Linked DNA regions of Arabidopsis thaliana. The main gene of each other region encodes a partner of the protein of the gene in region 3 in a complex. Each region holds a gene or a part of one and is shown on either strand. Other genes may lie near its edges.

The links.
Region 1: KT1 (region 3) and CBL9 share a complex: the UniProt entries of both Arabidopsis thaliana proteins name them as parts of the K(+)-channel calcium-sensing kinase/phosphatase complex.
Region 2: KT1 (region 3) and CBL1 share a complex: the UniProt entries of both Arabidopsis thaliana proteins name them as parts of the K(+)-channel calcium-sensing kinase/phosphatase complex.

The regions. Positions count from the first base shown.
Region 1 is NC_003076.8:19,128,772-19,134,214, forward strand, and holds CBL9 (calcineurin B-like protein 9), read right to left. Parts: upstream 3,534-5,443; 5' UTR 3,337-3,533; intron 3,106-3,336; 5' UTR 2,957-3,105; coding exon 2,878-2,956; intron 2,495-2,877; coding exon 2,412-2,494; intron 2,089-2,411; coding exon 2,029-2,088; intron 1,934-2,028; coding exon 1,825-1,933; intron 1,732-1,824; coding exon 1,679-1,731; intron 1,558-1,678; coding exon 1,477-1,557; coding exon of another isoform or gene 1,420-1,476; exon of another isoform or gene 1,389-1,419; coding exon 1,276-1,388; intron 1,189-1,275; coding exon 1,125-1,188; 3' UTR 869-1,124; downstream 1-868. UniProt on the Arabidopsis thaliana protein: Acts as a calcium sensor involved in abscisic acid (ABA) signaling and stress-induced ABA biosynthesis pathways. Contributes to the regulation of early stress-related CBF/DREB transcription factors.
Region 2 is NC_003075.7:9,814,401-9,820,221, reverse strand, and holds CBL1 (calcineurin B-like protein 1), read right to left. Parts: upstream 3,869-5,821; 5' UTR 3,612-3,868; exon of another isoform or gene 3,476-3,611; intron 3,236-3,475; exon of another isoform or gene 3,204-3,235; 5' UTR 3,081-3,203; coding exon 3,002-3,080; intron 2,588-3,001; coding exon 2,505-2,587; exon of another isoform or gene 2,242-2,504; coding exon of another isoform or gene 2,206-2,241; coding exon 2,146-2,205; intron 2,042-2,145; coding exon 1,933-2,041; intron 1,843-1,932; coding exon 1,790-1,842; intron 1,670-1,789; coding exon 1,589-1,669; intron 1,493-1,588; coding exon 1,199-1,492; 3' UTR 869-1,198; downstream 1-868. Other genes in the region: AT4G17616 (Pentatricopeptide repeat (PPR) superfamily protein), read right to left, coding at 1-614; AT4G17610 (tRNA/rRNA methyltransferase (SpoU) family protein), read left to right, coding at 5,312-5,467, 5,553-5,646, 5,734-5,821. UniProt on the Arabidopsis thaliana protein: Acts as a calcium sensor involved in the signaling pathway during growth and development and in response to abiotic stresses. May function as a positive regulator of salt and drought responses and as a negative regulator of cold response.
Region 3 is NC_003071.7:11,331,043-11,338,531, forward strand, and holds KT1 (K+ transporter 1), read right to left. Parts: upstream 5,697-7,489; 5' UTR 5,403-5,696; coding exon 5,230-5,402; intron 4,377-5,229; exon of another isoform or gene 4,165-4,376; coding exon 3,808-4,164; intron 3,739-3,807; coding exon 3,681-3,738; intron 3,573-3,680; coding exon 3,255-3,572; intron 3,174-3,254; coding exon 2,928-3,173; intron 2,839-2,927; coding exon 2,740-2,838; intron 2,658-2,739; coding exon 2,625-2,657; intron 2,502-2,624; coding exon 2,316-2,501; intron 2,214-2,315; coding exon 2,019-2,213; intron 1,925-2,018; coding exon 1,849-1,924; intron 1,756-1,848; coding exon 923-1,755; 3' UTR 808-922; downstream 1-807. Other genes in the region: KCS11 (3-ketoacyl-CoA synthase 11), read left to right, coding at 1-581. UniProt on the Arabidopsis thaliana protein: Highly selective inward-rectifying potassium channel that mediate potassium uptake by plant roots in response to low K(+) conditions, by a calcium-, CBL-, and CIPK-dependent pathway. Positively regulated by phosphorylation by CIPK23.

The sequences.
Region 1 (5,443 bases), on a different chromosome or scaffold from region 3:
TATTCTTTTTTGGAAGTTTGAACATAGACATGAACTAAGTTTTTCTTCCATTATAATACACAAATTTTTAAGGTGTACCATTAACATAAACGTATGTGGCTAGGTGTAGAAGATAGATCACTTGTGCAAGCATATATAACTCATGGTAACTCATGTTACCAATCACACCCATAGTATGGAGGATAAGTGCACACACAGAGTTAAAAGGAAAAAAAAAACCATGAACATAAACTTGCGAGTTAAGCGCAATTATAGAGTACAATACAGTACTAATCCGAGGTCGAATCTGCGGTTATACAACAGATTAACCTCTTCTCCGTATTTCCGGGATTCTCTATACCATGCCATTTTTCTTTTTTTAGATATGGACAACGTCCCACTATCACGCTCATCTAGATTGTGCCAGGGGAAGTGTCATCTTCCGTGAGAAATTTCTTTTTGGTATCAACTCTTGAGTTTCATACAAATGATTCTTGTCTGAACTCTTGAGTTTCAACTAAATGATCCTCAAACTTGGCTTTTGTAGTCAAAGAACATGGAGGATATGTAAAAGCGTCGCCGTACAGGGGGATTAGAGAGAATCACTCCACAGCATGGAATGTCTGAATCCGCTTGAGTTCTTTAGCTACTGGGATCATCATTGGTCTGTCTTCATCTCAAAGCCGGCACCACACACGTCAATTCGGATTTATCGGTTACAATAAATTCAGGTCTGGTTTGATTATAATTTTAGTTTCATTTTGGTATTTTTGAAGTTTTCAATTCCCTTAATAATAATAAATTGATTTATATGGCTAATTTCTTCTGTCTAAGCATATTTGACTTTGATTTCTCGTTACATAAAACATAAAGTGTTGGAATAATTTATGAGCAAAATCAAATCTTTAATCAGAAATTGTGGTTTTATATTAATCTTTTCGTAGAACTACAACTTGAGTATTCAAAACTGTTAAAGAAAGAGAGCCAAAAGTAATCGCAATACATGAAATTGAAATCCAATAGACTAAAAATTCCAAAGGAAATAGAGCTCGATCCTGCTATATAACATTGTTGGAATCAATCTTCTTTTTATTCTTGGTCCAGCCTACGACTTGGTCTCTATAAACCAGCTTGTCTTGTCTCTTTCACGTCGCAATCTCGTCCACCTCCGAGTTAAATACGAAACTCGGAAATGTCGTCGTTATATCCCTAAAATTGAGTTTTTAAGTCCTCAAACTTGGAAAATGGCACCAAAACTGGCCAAATAGATGGAAGTATCATAGTAAGGAGACATACCTGAGATACGGAAGAGTCATGATTTTAAGCAAAGATGGGTTTTTGATAACGAAATTGCTCCATTCTGTCTTATCAATCTTTCCATCCCGATCCACATCTGCGTCCTCAAATGTCTGTTCACGAAAAGAAAAAAAAACTCGAGTTTCATAAAACAGTCTTTCTTTTGACAGAAAACAAACTTGTAATAGACAACAAGTAAACCTGATCAAGTATCATCTCTATTGTATCATCAGCCAGTTTCATTTCAGATTCGCAGAGAAGTGCAATCAACATCTGCTTCACCTGCCAAAAACGCATACACAATTATGATTACTTATAGATGATGCAGAATCCATAATACTGAAAGTCTTTGAAACATAGATTGTTTGGGAATGGAATGTGAAGATATAGGACCATTGTTTACCTCTTGGCGCTCAATGAAGCCTGTGCAGTCCATGTCGTAAAGCCTAAAGGTAACTGATATATGAAATACAGAATAACATGAATAAAAGTACAGCAAGGCTTTAGAGAAACGACGATGGATATAAACTCGTTTATGGGTCAACTTACAGTCTGTTTTCTCCTCTAGGGAAGCATTAGGATGGAAAACATTGAGTGATCTCACAAAGTCTCCAAAATCAATTACGCCTTTTCGTTTAACATCAAATAAATCAAATATCTGGAAAAAAGAGCATTACCATTAACTACTTATAATAGAACTAATCGTTACGACTAACTACAAAGTTACTAAGGCCAAAGAAACTTAGAATTTACCCTATTGGCAAACAAATTTTCTTTCTTTCTGTTCTTGAACAAAGCAAGTTGAAACTCTTCCTGCATAACAAGTTGGTCGAGAAAATAAGTAACAATATCCAAGAGTGGGCCAAGAAAACATCAATTTTTATAAGCAAACCAATATAAAAAATGGAATTAAAATTCAAGTCAACTATCATCAACACAGAGACTTGGTGAGCAATAAGGAGCCCACAGCTCAGCATGGAGATTCAATAATAAATTTGTGAAAGTCAAGAAAGTTGACAAATAATACGGAATATGGATAATGGTGCAATGAATATTATTATGTCACTGTACATCACGCATTCAAGATTCTCCCATGAGGTGCGAAATAATCAAAGGGCTATGAGATTTATCATTACCTTGTTTATCAAGCCATCGTCAACAACCGAGCTGCTTATGCTCTTGAACAATTCATACAATGCTTCAACTTCACTAACACTAACTAGAAAAACAAACAAATAATTAGCCACACTGCGAGATTTCTCATCAACATCATGTATATCACCAAAACAAAAATCGAAAGTGATGGTTCTTGAAAACTTTCTCTGATTAAGATTCCATTTGAAAGTAGAAGTAAACTACACTAATGATCCAAGAAACTATTGAAATAGGTTTATGTGATGACTTAAGTAACAACAAGCATCATTTAACAAAGTTGTAGATCAAATAGATTATGAATGAAAGAACCATTTTTCGGATTCAATAAATGGCGAAAACAGATTCTCATATCAGTTAACAATTGATAAAAGAGAGATCTTTATGCTCATGCTCTTTGAGAATAAAGCAAAGAAGAGAAAACGAAACGTATAGTGCAAGTAAACTTACAAGCAGTCTCAGAAGCAAGCTTCACAGGGTTTTCGTGATCGGGAAATTCTCTGGCAGCCGTGGAATGGAAACAACCCATTTACGGATGACAAGAGTAAAACGAAGAAGAAGAAGCTTGTTCCGGAGGTTGATAAAATCGCCAAACTCTACTACAATTTCTGAGATTGTGAAAAAGCTTGATTTCTGATATTACTCACTCCCCATCATCATCATAAGCATCTTTAAAAACTACAATGATTCAATCAAAAACAAAACCCAACAAAAATTGAATTAAAAGACGAACACGATAATTGAATAAGTATAAACCCTAGAAAAAATAAGCAGCAGCTATGTGGCAATCGAATTCAGATTAACAAAATTTTGAATATTAAATCGGAAATTAAACAGGTAATGTAGGAGCGGCTCGAGAATCTCCGAACCCAGAAACTGAATGGTGAAATCGAAAAATTGAGCACTTACCACCGAGAGAACGGGCTCGCCGGCTCGGTGAGAGAGAGAGAGGAAGGGATTTTGATTTTTGAGAAACGAGAGAGAGACGAAGAAGAAGATCTCTGACCACGATGGTAGATGAATTGATCGGACGGCTGAGATTAACTTCAGACTTTGCTGGGCTTTTTTTGTTCGTCAGAGGCCTCCGATTGGGGAAATTATGAGAGAGTTTGTTTATAACATGATCGTCGCACGTGTGAGGGTCTGAACGCGTGTGAAACACATCCTTGTCATTTTTACCTCTTTTTTTCTACCAACCCCATTTTTATTTTATTTTTATTACAGTGTGGGAAGAAAACAAAGCCATTATTGTTGTTTGACATTTTAGTTTCGAAATTTCAACTTTCAACTTTCCTTTTTTATTGGTTAAGAAAGTTAATCATTTTTACAAGTTTTCTTACAATTCTGCAATGATTTTGTTTTGTTTTTGTTTTTTTATTAAAAGAAAAATATTTAGACTCGAATTTTGTTTTTATGTAAGTTTATAACTGTAAGAAAAAAAAAGTGTAGAGAGGTAACTAGTACTTGTAGAGTCAAGATTTAACATACTCAAAAGATACTAAGAATGATATTTATTTGTATAAGATATAATTTTCAAATTGGATCTTTCATTTTCATAATCCATACAGATGTCAAGATCTCATAGTCTTCAAGATCTTGCAATAAATAAATATTAATATGATAACCCAACTAGCAAGGGGACTAATTACTGTATTTATCTATATATTCAAGATTCATGTAGAGTGTGTTTGATAATAATTTCAATATGGGTCATATACCTTTTGGGATAAACGAAGAATTATAATAATTCTGGTCACATTTTAGTAGTCTAATCAATCACGTAGGACAAACAAAAATCCAATAGTATAAAGGCGGTCTAAATAAGAATTATGGATTAACATAATTACTTTTATATAAACCATAAGACATGATCTAATCATGTATATTATCAAATTTTGAAACTAATTAAGTACGTACGCCATCCAACAATCCAATAATGTAAACTATATAATGTTCGCCTAAAAAAAAGAAATGGATTAGCATATCCATAAGACATGGCCAAATCATGCATGTTACGTATATTAAATTTGAAACTGGGATCCTGGCTCTAGTAAGAGTGGTTTATAATTTTATATTGGGTTTAGAATTCCAAATTAAATGGTCAAATTCTTTCATTCCAATACAAGCAGAAACTTTTATGATAGTAAAAAGATTATGAGAAGACTTATGAGGTGTTAAGAAAGTGGGAGATGTATTATGAGGAGGAGAGATTATGAGTATAGTAAAAAGATTATGAGAAAAAAGATTATGACAATAGTAAACAAGAAGGTCCATACAGTATCCATGTTTTTCAAGAAAGTGGGAGATGCCAAAGTCCTGGACCTAATATTTTTGTTTTAAGTTTTGATAACTAACTAATTTTTTTTAAATCAGACACAAAAATAAACATAGACTGTTGATATTTTAGAAAATTAAGATCTATTAAAAAAATATTGTATTTTCTTATAGATAAACAAAAAAAACTTTTTTTTTACTAAAAGACTAATATCAAACTGTCCTAAGGTCCCTACTAATTTTGGGCCGGTGGTCCTGACAAGTGACAACAGTTTAATGGTCCATTTTGTACTTAAAATTGAGTCAAATTAGTTGCGGCAATAAGAGCAGAGCAGTAATGTGTTACACCCTTAAAGGACGTTAGTACTGAAGCCCAAATTCTTTGGAGGTTGGTTGGTTGGTTGATGAAGTGCGGTTTTGATTAATTCACAAATATGACTTACTTGATGACTTTTCACAAACATCCATCTGGAAACGCTACTATTTGATGATGTATTAACAGTAGAAAGCATATTAAAAAAAATAAAATCTCTTATTGATTAAATTATCAAGCGTCAAAACGAAATAGGTCTGCTTTACAAGTCAAAGACCTTCGATACATTATCTTTGAGACTACTTCATAGAGATTTTTAAAGCAGAAAGATTACAAAATCTGAAGATCAGTAGTTCAGTAGAGATAAACTTTCACTGATTCACAGATTATTGCATAACAAAAAAAGGAAAATGAAAGATTGTAAGAACT
Region 2 (5,821 bases), on a different chromosome or scaffold from region 3:
CTGCTATTTCTTTTCCCCACATTGAACTCCACAAAACGATCACAAACCTGAACCAAATAATTCGAAGCTAAGCAAGTCCCAATCTCTGTTTTCACCATATGCATCACAACAAGCCTCAATACATCTGAGGTTAGAACATATCCCTTCTCCAGCATTATTCGAAGGATACTACAAGCAGATTCAACCATCTGAGCTCTCGCTAGAGACAACGACAACTTTGTTAACACATCGCCACTTAACATACCTGGATTTTGCTTCAAAGCCAAACGAGTAAGATCACTAGCCTTACAAAGCCAACCAGCATCAGACGAGTAAGACAACACAGTAACAAATCTGTTCATGATTACACTCTCTGGAAATCCATAGAGGCGTTTGAAATCTTTAAACACGTCCCAAGCATCATCTACACGGTGATCTTTAAGAGCTGTTTCTAGCTTCTTCTTGAGAATTACTTGAGAAGAAACTTCCCAGTTTAATCTAGCAGGTTTAACACTAGTACAGAACAGAGACGGCTTTGAGGTGCGACTACACAAGACCCATGAAATTAGGGTTTCTACGTTACCGCTATCGAATCGACGAAATGATTCTAGAACTAAGTTCCGTTTCCTAAACATTAGTCTAGAATTTCGATTCCAAATCTAGAATTTAACAAAGAAAGCACAACAATGACGAGAACATGATAACAACATACGAATTCTCCAATCGAGAAAGAACCCTAAATTGCTGGAAACTTCGAAATCGAGAGAGAAGAGAGGAACACTGTAACAAGAGAAGAGTGGCAAGACTGTAAATTTCATCGGGTCGGGTCCTAGGACATTCGTACTTTCGCTTTTGCGGTTAAGGACCCAACAAAATCTCAAATTCACGTTTTTGCAGTATAAGATTCCATTGGAACAATTAGAACCCCGAGTAAACGTAACAAATCTTTACTTTTTTACTTGAAAAAAAACAATTACAACAAACGTATGATGTAATATGTACAAACTCATTAACATTTCCTAACTATATGAAGTGAAGGATTGGTGATTACGCGCTTCTTCTTTTTTTTTTTTTGTAAGCTAAAAACCCAAAATTTTAAACTGTTGTGAGAAGAAAAAAGTAACCCAAACAATTTCAAGAGAATATGCTCTACTACTGTTTACAAACAGATGTTGATTACACCGATTAGCTCAGACTTGTTCTTCCAACTCGTGGCAATCTACTCGGTCTTAAACCAGTTTGTTTCTTCATGTGGCAATCTCATCGACCTCCGAATGGAAGACAAAACTCGGAAACGTTGTCGTAATATCCCTGCATTGTTTATGTACAAGTTAATATGACATTTCATTTGGCATTTTTCAGTTTTCTTTGGTTTCCATAAAAGGCAATTTGTAATATACCTGAGATATGGAAGAGTCATGATCTTAAGCAATGATGGATTTTTGTTTACGAAATCACTCCACTCTAATTTATCAATTTTTCCATCTTGATTCACGTCTGCATCTTCAAATGTCTGTTCATATATGAGAAGGACGAAGGAAACCACATTAAGAACATCATCTCTAAATGTATACCATCTAGAAAAATAAAGCCTTAGACAACAACAAACCTTATCGAGTATTATCTCTATGGTTTCATCAGCCAGTTTCATTTCAGATTCGCAGAGAAGCGCGATCAACATTTGCTTGACCTGCAAATATATCACATTCATTAACGATTTCTTGCAAAGTTATTAAGTAAAAGATGAATACTCAAGAACATGGCAAAGATCTATCATGACTAGTATTCAAAGCTTGCAAGTTAGTATTACCTCTTGTCGTTCAATGTAACCCGTGCAGTCCATGTCGTAAAGCCTAAACGTAACTGAGAAAAAATGGCAGACCAGAATCAATAAATCTCTTCACAAAAGCTTCAATAAACACCTATATATGAAACTATCTTATGTCAACTTACAATCTATTTTGTCTTCTAGAGAAGCATTGGGGTGGAAAACATTGAGTGATCTTACAAAGTCCCCGAAATCGATGACTCCTTTTCGTTTAACATCAAACATATCAAATATCTGCGGAAAAGCAATATTGTTTAGGATAATGGACATATTATCTTGGTTTAGATCACTCTTCCAGAAGATGAATCTTGTAAAAGCCTGAAGAATTAAGATTTTACCCTATTAGCAAATATATTCTCCCTCTTCCGGCTTTTGAACAAAGCAAGTTGAAACTCCTCCTGCATACATGTGAAGCCAGGATTAAAAAACAACATAAACAAGGTGGGCCATGAAGGCTTCAAAATTCAAAATCAAAGCAATCAATAAAATAAGTTAAGTTCAAGTCAAACATTAAGGGCTACGATACATTGAATCGATGCAATATGGAACAGACATATCGTCATGGAAGAATAATTATTGCTCAAATAAAGTCAACTAAGTTGAAAAATACTGTAGATGAATAGCGTAAAGAACAAAAAGATACAACGATGGGGTCATGAAAAGATCCAAATTGGGTCAAAAGAAACAAACTTTGTACCTTGTTAATCAGACCATCATCAACAACCGAACTGCTTATGCTCTTGAATAGCTCAAATAATGCTTCAACCTCACTCACACTAACTGGAAAAGAGAAAAAAACAAGCAACACTACGAGATCAAAACAAAGAATTACCAGGAACAAACAAACAAACAAACAAAGAGACTAATAATTCACATTTAGAATTTGCATGGAGAGAGAACTCGTCTTGACAAGTTAAGGAACAAGATTAAGGTGATGGTATTGGTAACAAGAAACATGAGATAGAGTGTTAACCAACTTTGAAGGATCATTACTAGAAATTGTTAGGCAGACAAAGACTCCAAAACACAAAACTAAAAAAATCCAAACCGGAGATAAACTAAATCAGTGAACAGAGAAAGAATGATTTGAATCTAACTGATGATTCTCATCTCATATCAGAAAACAAATGAACATGCAGCTTTGAGAGAAATGAATCTAGAGGAGGTTTAAACTTATAGCGCGAGTAAACTTACAAGCTGTCTCAGAGGCAAGCTTAACAGGGTCTTCGTGTCCTCGAAATTCTTTTGCTGCCTTTGAGTGGAAGCAGCCCATTTACAGATGAAATAAGACGATGAAACCTTATACCCGAGCCCCGGATAACGAAGAAAAGGCGGATAAAATCCAACAGCTAATTCAGCGATATCTGAGATTCTATAGCTTGATTGCTACTGTTTACTGCACAATCATCACAAACATATTTTCAAAATCTACACATATGGAAACAGAACACAAACAATGCCATTTCATTAGAAACAAATCATCTAAAAAAATCTTTGTGAAACGTAAAATTGAAAACAGTCTAGAAGAATCTCAACAACTTTGCTCAAATTTTTTTACCATGGAAGAAAAAAGTGTAAACCCTAGCAAAGTAGCATCAATGAAGAAAGAAAAAAAAAACACAAAGTTCTTCGAATCCATAAGATACGGAGATGGAATCAAAATTGTACCAGTAAAACACGATTCGAAACCAGACGATCAATGTAGAAACATCGAGAATTCCACAGGCCAAAAATCAAACTCAAAAAAACGAAATTCGATGGAAATAAAAGAAAAAGATTCTTAAAAATAAGAAGCAACACTCACCACCCAAGAGAAACGGTTCGCCGGCGAGATCCAGAGAGAGAGGAGCTAGAAACAGCAAAAAGAGAGAAAGAGAGAGGAGACGAAGAAGATTGGTGAACGGTGATGGCAAGATGGATGATCGGACGGTTGAGATCGATTATTTATTTTTCTTTTTCCTTTGGAATGAATTTTAGTAGCGCTTATATGATGGCATATTCGCACGTGTGAATCATAGTAAGCGCGTGTGAGACGAGTCAGTTTTGGAAGTTAATAGAATCGGCGTTTAGTTCAGTTTTTTCTGTCGTCATGTAATTTCAGTTAGACCGAACCTAATTGTACCTAATTCCATAGATTGATTTCTGTTATGTTCATTCTGTACTATTTATCTTCTGTCTTTTTTTCTTTTTACAACTTGATTGTTACGTAAGCATACACGATATTTTCTATGTTTCTGTATACTAAGAATGGGAAAAATATTTTTTGGACAAGAAATTCAAAATTTCTTTTGTTTCTTCTAATATCCATTCACTTCCGGAATAAATCAAAGATCCGTCCATTTTATTAGTCAAAATGGCACCTCTTAGGAATATTCTGAATATACGGAATTGGTAACCCTGTATTATAATAACTTTTTATATAGTTAGTTTATTAGATATTTGCGATGCTCCATAATTTGACTAATATGCAAAATGGAAACGCCAATAATAAAGTCTGGGAAACATTTGTCTTCGACTGATCGTGTTAGTGGTCACCATATCTTCTTTTGGTTTTGCTATCTAAAAAAACACAAGTTTTTTAATCCATTAACATTTTTTGTTTCTTTGGTAAAATAAATCCACTAACATATGTGATATTTACAGGGTGCCATTTTAAAACCATAACACTCTTGACAACTGGAAAAAGGCTCTAAACTGTAATTATCTGTTGAAATGGTTATTAACTAAATAAATCAGATCATGAAGCCAAATCTCTACAAGAATCAATTTAATTATAAAGTATTGTGTTTATGAATTAAATATGTCGTAGACCAGTCGGTGTGGAATTAGTACTTCGGTCTGCAATGTGGCAGGCAAACGTTGACATAATTAGGACCTTAATCACGACCAGACCACGTGTTTATCGTTCAAAACAATAATAATAGCGTATATATATTAAATTTCTTGATTATGATTAGTAGCTTTGATTCTCCTGCCGTTAACTCGATCAATTAGAGTTTTATATCATTTTGATATCTTTAAAGCGGGCTTAAATTGACTCTTTGGTCACCGGCCGTGTTGGGAACGCGTCCTCAAAATGTTTTGTTTAATTTGCGTATACTACGGTATTATAATTTTATAAATGCAACATAATAACATCCGGATCCGTGGCGCAATGGTAGCGCGTCTGACTCCAGATCAGAAGGTTGCGTGTTCGATTCACGTCGGGTTCAATCCCCCGAACAATTTCCGGTTTTTTTTTTTTTTTCTTCTCCTGAAGTCTATCCCATACGGCCCAATCATACTAAGTTAAGCCCAAGAAAGCCCTTATCAATAATTCTAATTTCCCCCCTAATTATACGACTAGGGTTTATCTGTCCTAAGCCATGAAAATTATTTGAAAGGGTTTAACAGAGAGATTCCTCGTAACACTTCCCTCTGTACTAATTTCAAATTCGTTTACGTTTCTTCATCTATTCTGGCTGCTTGCAGCCAATTTTTTTGAAGTTCGAAGCTTCAATTGAAATGGGTTCGTCAGTGATTACTTCATTGTCACTGAGCTTCAAGCAAGTTCCACCAGCAGCTATTCCTGCTTTCCTTGACTGTGTTTTAAGCTCCACAGGCGTATCTCCTTCAACTCTTTTCGAATCTCTCATTGAGCAATTCCCTTTTCGTTTAGAGGTATTGATTGATTGGTTTATTGTTTCACACTTCGGCAATTTGCTTCGGATTGTTCAATTTAAGATTTGAACATGTTTTTGAATAGGATACGGTAAATGGGGACAAGAGATTTGATTCTGATGATTGCAACCACATAGCTTCATTGGTGGCTGGGCTTTGTCATCTACTAAAGAATTTTGGTGAGTTACCAATTTTGAATTTTTAGATATGTATGATGTGTTAGTGATTACAGAATTGTTTAATTGATGGTTATGAGGTTGAAGCAGGCTTTGTTGCTGCGGATAATCATAATGCGTTGCAGCTATTTGTGTGGAGAGTGTTTATTCCATTGATGAAGATGGTTCGTGCATATGA
Region 3 (7,489 bases):
GAGCTGATGATAAGTGTTTTGGTTGCATAACTCAAGAAGAGGATTCCGCAAGTAAGATTGGTGTTACCTTGTCGAAAGAACTTATGGCTGTTGCGGGTGATGCTCTAAAGACAAATATTACGACGTTAGGACCACTGGTTTTACCGACATCTGAACAGCTTCTGTTCTTTGCAACGTTAGTGGGAAGAAAACTCTTCAAGATGAAGATCAAGCCTTACATCCCAGACTTCAAACTAGCGTTTGAGCATTTCTGCATCCACGCAGGAGGGAGAGCTGTTCTTGATGAATTGGAGAAGAACTTGAAACTCACAGAGTGGCATATGGAGCCCTCGAGGATGACACTCTACCGTTTTGGTAACACGTCCAGTTCTTCTTTGTGGTATGAATTAGCATATAGTGAGGCCAAAGGAAGGATCAAGAAAGGTGATAGAATTTGGCAGATAGCTTTTGGTTCGGGGTTCAAGTGCAACAGCTCGGTTTGGAGAGCGGTAAGGTCGGTAAACCCTAAGAAAGAGAAGAACCCATGGATGGATGAAATTCATGAGTTCCCAGTTGAAGTCCCCAAGGTCTCCACAATCTAGAAACCACTTAGTGGCAAATTTTCAGAAGAGGTTTTTGAGTTTTCAGCTTTTGATATTTTGTGTCTTCCCAGTGAATTTACCTTTTTCTTGATTTGATAATCAGATACACCAAACTGGTTAACAATATTTTTCTTCTTTTTTGCGGAAAAACTTGTTGTAGTCAGTAGCAGACCGTCAATGGTCGGTCCAGCTTGTGTTTTTGGTTGTTGTGTCTGCATATATATTTCCTTTAAGCATTCTTTGTCTCTTTCATTTTTTGACAAAGTTGTTAAAAACAAGAGTTATCAACTTGTCATTAATAACAATAGGTGATAGAATGTGGCAGAGAGTTTCTATGGTTGTTAAGAATCAGTTGCAAAGATGAGATGATCTCCATCTCTTATAACATCTACATCATCAATCTCTGCATTGTTGTCTTTGTTCATAACTTTGGTAGCAACAATACCAAACTTGTTGGAACCCAATTCTAGCAACTCCTTGAAACTCCCAGGAAGCAGTACCAGCTTCCCGGCTATGTCATCTTTCTCTGCACAACTAATCGTCACTCTCACCGGGTTTCCAGTTCTGCCTTCATCTACCGTAGCTAGCCCGTTCTTGGGTACGCTTTGATTTGCTAATATACCAAACAACGAGTTATCGAAGTTGTTAGTTTTACGTCTTGCTCTTGTTTCTCGAATCCTGAAAGACACTTCTCTTGATGCAGGACGGATGTTGGGTTCACTAGTGAATCTTCCGAGGAACCGGATCCCGGTTTTGAGTATAGGTACCGAAGAACTTGTCTCGATATGCACTCTCCTCTCATGTAACTTTTCTCGGAATAAGGCTTTAATATCCTCATGCCCTTGTTGCTCAGCAAGATCCCTCGGCGTCCAACCATGCATATCCTGCTTGTTAACATCCGCACCTTGCTCCAGAAGATACTTTACCATCTCAATGTTCTCTTCGCATACAGCGGTATGGAGCGCAGAGGTGCCTGTGGCTCTAGGACGAGTAACGTCTCCACCATGAAGAACAATTTCTTTTAGTAGTTTCAAGTTTCCTTGCTCAGCCGCCGTGCAAGCAAAATGACCCACATCCCCTGCGTCTATGGTACTGCCATGTTCTAACAGTACCTTTACAACTTTCTCATGCCCTTCCACCATTGCTTCCCACAGTGGTACACTCCCTTCCGCGTCTGCGTTTACATTTCGAAGAAACCAAGAAGCTCAATACTTCAGAAGAAATCCTGAAATCAAAAGGGAAGTACCAGAACTGAACAAGCAAGTACCTCTGCAATTGGGGTCTGCGTGGTACTCCAACAGAAGAAGAACACAATTTAGAGTTCCTTTTGATGCTGCTATATGCTGTTTCCAGAAAAAAAAAAGAGATCATAAGTTATAGTCTCCAAGAGCTTGGATGAGAAGAAAATAACAGAACAAGAATGTGAACTTGACTGACCAGAGGTGTTCTGCCATTGTTATCCGATTCATTTGGATCAAGTCCTCTCTTTAGTAACTGATGTAAAAGTAAATCGTCTTCTCTTATTGCAGCAAAGCATAAATTGAGAGGAAGATCCATTTTACCCCGTGCAAGCATGTTTTCTATCTCCAGCAGAACATTCGTCATCACCGGATCATTCATTTCTTTCAAATGCTGCTCTCCACAAAGAAAGAGAGTGAGAACAAGTAAGTAATAGTTCATAGATACTTTTCTGTTTTCAATATTTGAAAACCTCAGAAGGATCTGTTTATTCACCTGAAGTAGATTATTCATGATTATGGTACCATCACCAACATTGGCCTGAATAATATTCAAGAAAGTTGTACGGTTCATACGCAACAGTTGGCACAAACGTTTGGTCCTCACAGTAAACAGTTGTGGTCTGTAGCATAACACCCCTATCTCCCCTATAATGTCTCCAGCTTTAACCTCTCTCACAATCTGAAATTCTCCATAAACTTCTCTTTGTGAATGCTTAGTTACATCATAACTCCAAGATCACAGGTATGGAGACAAAAGGGATAAACATAAAATAAGAAACATCCATCAAGTGACGCGACTTACGCTTTCTGTTCCAGTATCTACATCCACCAAGTCCTGCATCATAACGGATATGTAAGAGAAGTAAGTTTTATGTCAACTCAACAAATCTGTAGAGAACTTTGTAATGTTTTATTACCGCGGTTCCGTTCACAAGGATGTAGAAGTCTGTTGGCGCTTCGTTCTGCAAGATAACATCTTCTTTTGGTGGGAAATACTCAGCTTTCATTTCTGAGACCTGTAAAATGTACAAAGTAGTGGTAGCTTCATTTGTGTGTTGAAAATGGGATATGAATGATGTTTTCACATGCATTGTCATTAGTATACCAGTTGAAAAAGCAGGTCATTGGATACTCCTCGAAACAGGTAGACTTTATCCATGAGGGAGTAGAAAAGAAAGTGTGATATACTCGATCTAATGGCCTTTGGGAGTGCATCAAGAGTTTCTTGCTGTTGCAGACCCTCAGAGTCAGTCCGGTATTTCAAACATAAATGTGCAAGCATTTGATCTTGCAGACGAGGTGGTAAATGGTTTCTATGAGCAAAATTTGAAGCAGCTTGGATTGTATCTCTCTGCAAAATGAGAACAAAATATTATAAACCGCGATGGATATGCTTCAAAGATTGAAGATGGATATGAAGATGCTAACTTACAAAATTTCTAGTCCGACTTGTTCCATGGACTACCAAATTTGTCATGTTACCAATCAAGTAAGCGGTTAATCCGAGGTTGAAGAGCATATAGAAGATATCAAATATCATCTCCTTTGTGTTCACAGGATGCAGATCACCATAACCAACAGTGGTTAGAGTAGTGATGGACCAATACATGGAAGTCACATATCTCATCCACAAGCTTTCCTCTAGGAAGTTTGCTACATTTGCACCAATCCAGGTCTTTGCGGGGTTAGAATTGCGCGCTGCGATAAGGTAATAGAAACATGCAGCACAATGAACCGCAAAAAGAGTGACCTGCAAAAATGCTCTGGTTGGTTAGTATCTACACTATTACTACATCGAGAGTGTAGTAGTTTGAATAAAGATAACATTATAAGAAGCAAAACATTTTGATGTTCTTACACAAACGAGTTTTGCGCATCGGACCCAAAAGTAGTTGAAGTTGCGGTCTTTCTCTAGTCTGTTAAACAGAGAATGTCAAGATTAAAGAAAATAATGAAAGAAAGAAGAAAAGTTTAGTGATTCTAACCTGGCAAACAAGGCACCGACTCTGCGAAGACGCCAAAGACGAAGCATGTTAAACAATCCATAAGACTGAGATGAGATTCTCATAGCAGCCTCTGAGGGAATGGTTGAAACAAGATCAAGAAGGAACCAAGAACGCAAGTACTTAAATGCAATCTGTTTACGGTCATCAACAATGAGGTAAGTCGATTTATCGAGGTAACCAACAAAGAATGTCATGATGATATCGATGGCGAAGAATGCGTTCACAATGTTATCGGTGATAGATAGTGGTGGCCTTGGCTTTCTCAAGAACCCAAACTCGAAAGGCGAAACCCAAGCTGTGTAAACCACAAGAACCACTAGGAAAGCCTCCCATATCCTGTAGTCAACATTTCCATTTCAGTCATATTCAATAATCTAGTACATTTTCTACATGTAGTTGAACATATCTCTTAAGTTACTGCATGAATATATCCAAGTAAGTCTCATATTTAATTTATCAGTACTTTGTGTTTCAATAGTATGTTACTATTTGATGACGCTATTGAGGATACAACAACCAAGTACAGTTTTTTCTACTTTTGGTTATAGTAATATATCAGATTTGATATCAGTCGTTGAAATCAAGTAATGAGTGCCTTGAATGTTCCACATTCTCTTTTTCAATTACTATAAATTATCCCCAAAAAGCAAAAGCCAAAAGCAAAGGCGGCTTTTAAGCTAATTAGCCAACGAGAGTAATAATGGGAGCCTTGAATATTCTACAATAGCCTTCACATTTATAGATCTTCTTTTTTGAATATTAGGGAACTAGGATTTGAATATTCCAAATGTTGAGTAAAAAGGGAGCTTTAGTCGTCAAGTAGTTAAAATTTTCAAATTAACCTAAGAAAATATTATTATTAAAAATCAATTGTTGTTGAGGTAAAAAAACGTGGAAACCAACATTTTTGTGTTGTTTGACCAACTAGCATTTTTTATTTGCACGTAATTTTTTTATTTTATGAAGAAATTAAAACATTTTTCAAATAAAATAGTCCAATAAGATAAAATAACATGTTATTTGTTTAAAACCAACATGAAACTCTTACTATTTTGAGGGTAAACTTGTAACCTAACCAAATAGTTATTCACCTAACTCATAGAAAATAAGGTTAGTTAATCTAGTGCATATACTTAATAGTATTTACCCACAATAAATTACAAAAGTTGATCACCAACCATTAAAAAGAATACAATTTTTTTTTATATTCAGTATTCATTTAATAAAATACAAATTTGTTAACTATGATCCTAAAGTAAAGTTAATTTCTTGTTTCCGATCCTCATAAATGAAAGAATCAGAAGTTATATAGTTGAAATATATATCAAGTTAAAATGGTAATCGTCTTCTTAGCTTGACATGGAAGAGAAACAAGAAAAACAAAAAACAAAAGAGTGAAACCTGTATTTGTGATCATAAGGAGATACAACGAATCTCCTAAGCTTAACTCGTCGATTACTTCTTGCACCAAGTGAAGGTAAAATTCCAGTAGAAAGACTAAAATGACTACTCTCTCTCGAAAGCTGTTCAATCTCATCTTGGACTTGTCCGCATAACAAAGCCCCTCCTCTCATCACCGACGTTTTTTTTTCTTGGCTTCCTCTTTGATGGTTCCTTTTTTTTGTTCTTTTGGTTTCGGCAAAAGAGGCAAAATAAGCAGCTTAACTCTTGGCTTTATTGGTTTCACATTTTTTTTTCACTCGTTGTTGATGAGTGAGACCTTTTTTTTTTCTTTATAACAAAAAAAAACTCTTGGCTAGTTGGCTTTATTACGGGTGTGTGTGTCATTTCTGACTTTGGATCCCTTCACTTTCAAGGAATTAAGTTTTCTCTCGGCAACACAGTGGTTGGCCCCACTTTCACGTCTTAACCCTTACTGTAGCATTAATGGTGGCTTCTCCATTTCAAGATAAAATAAAATATCATTCTTGCTCATAAATAATTGTATTAACAGAAGAAGAAAAATTAGACCGAAGAGGAAGAGTTGACCAAAAATTTATACATCAGAGCATGATCTCAAGTTTTTCAATCATTATACTTACTATTTTATTGTTTGTTTGACTTCTAACTAAAGGAAAAAAAAAACACATATAGATGTAGGACACGACTTAAAACTTGTTTTAAAATATTTTAGGTGATCGATCATATAACATTCTTGGGCTCATTTGTGGTATGGAGATTTGAAGTGAGATATTGATTGCAACTTATGGTATGATTGGTTGCATACTTGCATAAAGAGCAATAAATGTTAAACTGTCATACTTTTATTTTAACGAGTAAAGGAAAAGCAAATCGTAAAAAAATAGTTTTTCTTTGTTTGGGCATAAAAGAAAAATATTTTGGTTCATCATCCCTAGATCGTAAGCCCTTTTGTTCACCTTTTCCTCGTCTATCTTACTCACTTCTTGTCCATCATCGTATATATAGGGAATTTAAGATAAGCTAGACATTTAGCCTTTAGGATATGATAACTACCATTGTTTGGGGAGGAAGCTACTTAGGATTTAAGTAGATAATGTAAAATGATGAGGGATAATAATGAACTTTGGATAACTATCCATTTTCTTGAAAGAGAAGTAATGTGATGGATAATCATCACATTTATAACAGTTACCTCATTAAAGTGGTCTTATTACTACAAATATTTGTTGCTATTTTTTCCTTCAAGTTCTGGATTTCTCAAATTTCATATAGTTAAAGTTTTAATTTACAAGATGTCTACTGCTATAGATAAATCATAAAGGTTTGATTGCTATGTCGCTAGGGGAGGAAGATGACCTTTTAAATATATTTGATCTACTTCAATATTGCTCTAGTGAAAAGAGTGTTGTGAGTTTGATAGGAAGAATTCGTAAATCGGATTGCCAAATGATGGAGCTAATCCTAGATAAGCCAAGGAACTGGCAAAAGTATGAAATCATCATAGAGATGGCTATTTCCTATAGAGAATGTTAGATGCGTAACAACCAATTTTCTTTTACTTTTAGAATTTTCTTTATTTACTAATATTTCAGTTAGAGGTTAGCACACTTCTTGTTCCATCCCATAACTGTTCGGGTGTTTCCAAATTCCTATCTTATATAGGAATGTATTCTCAATATGGGACAAGTTGGTATTTCCAAATAGAAACTGGAGGGGTTCCCTAAGTCCTGATTGTGACAAATACAACTAGTATATATATATATATATATATATATATATATATAATATTCTAAAAACTTAATTGATTTAATTTATGTTTAGTTGTTCTAAAATGGATTATGTTTCTTTGTTTTTTCAAGTTTTAACTTTTCACTATATAACACACTTTATCATTTTTTCTTGTTTGGAAAATATTTATGCTAGATAAATTGAAAACATGTTAATTATAGAGCAAGAGTTTATATTTTATTTTATTGTAACAGGTTCTAAGACCTTTTTTTATAGAAAACATTAAATTAAGATAATTATTAATTACATGACTCGCGCTCTGACCAGTTGGACCAAATATATATGAAACACAAATTTAGTTTAATAGTATTTTAGAGTATTTCTCTCTTTTTTTTTATGAGCTGGTATTTCTCTAATTTACAAGTGTGTTGCATATAAAACTTCATTCCTTTTTTCCTTTTGTATCATTGTATGGGTCTTTGACTCTTTTTTGGGTCCTTTTTCGTCGACC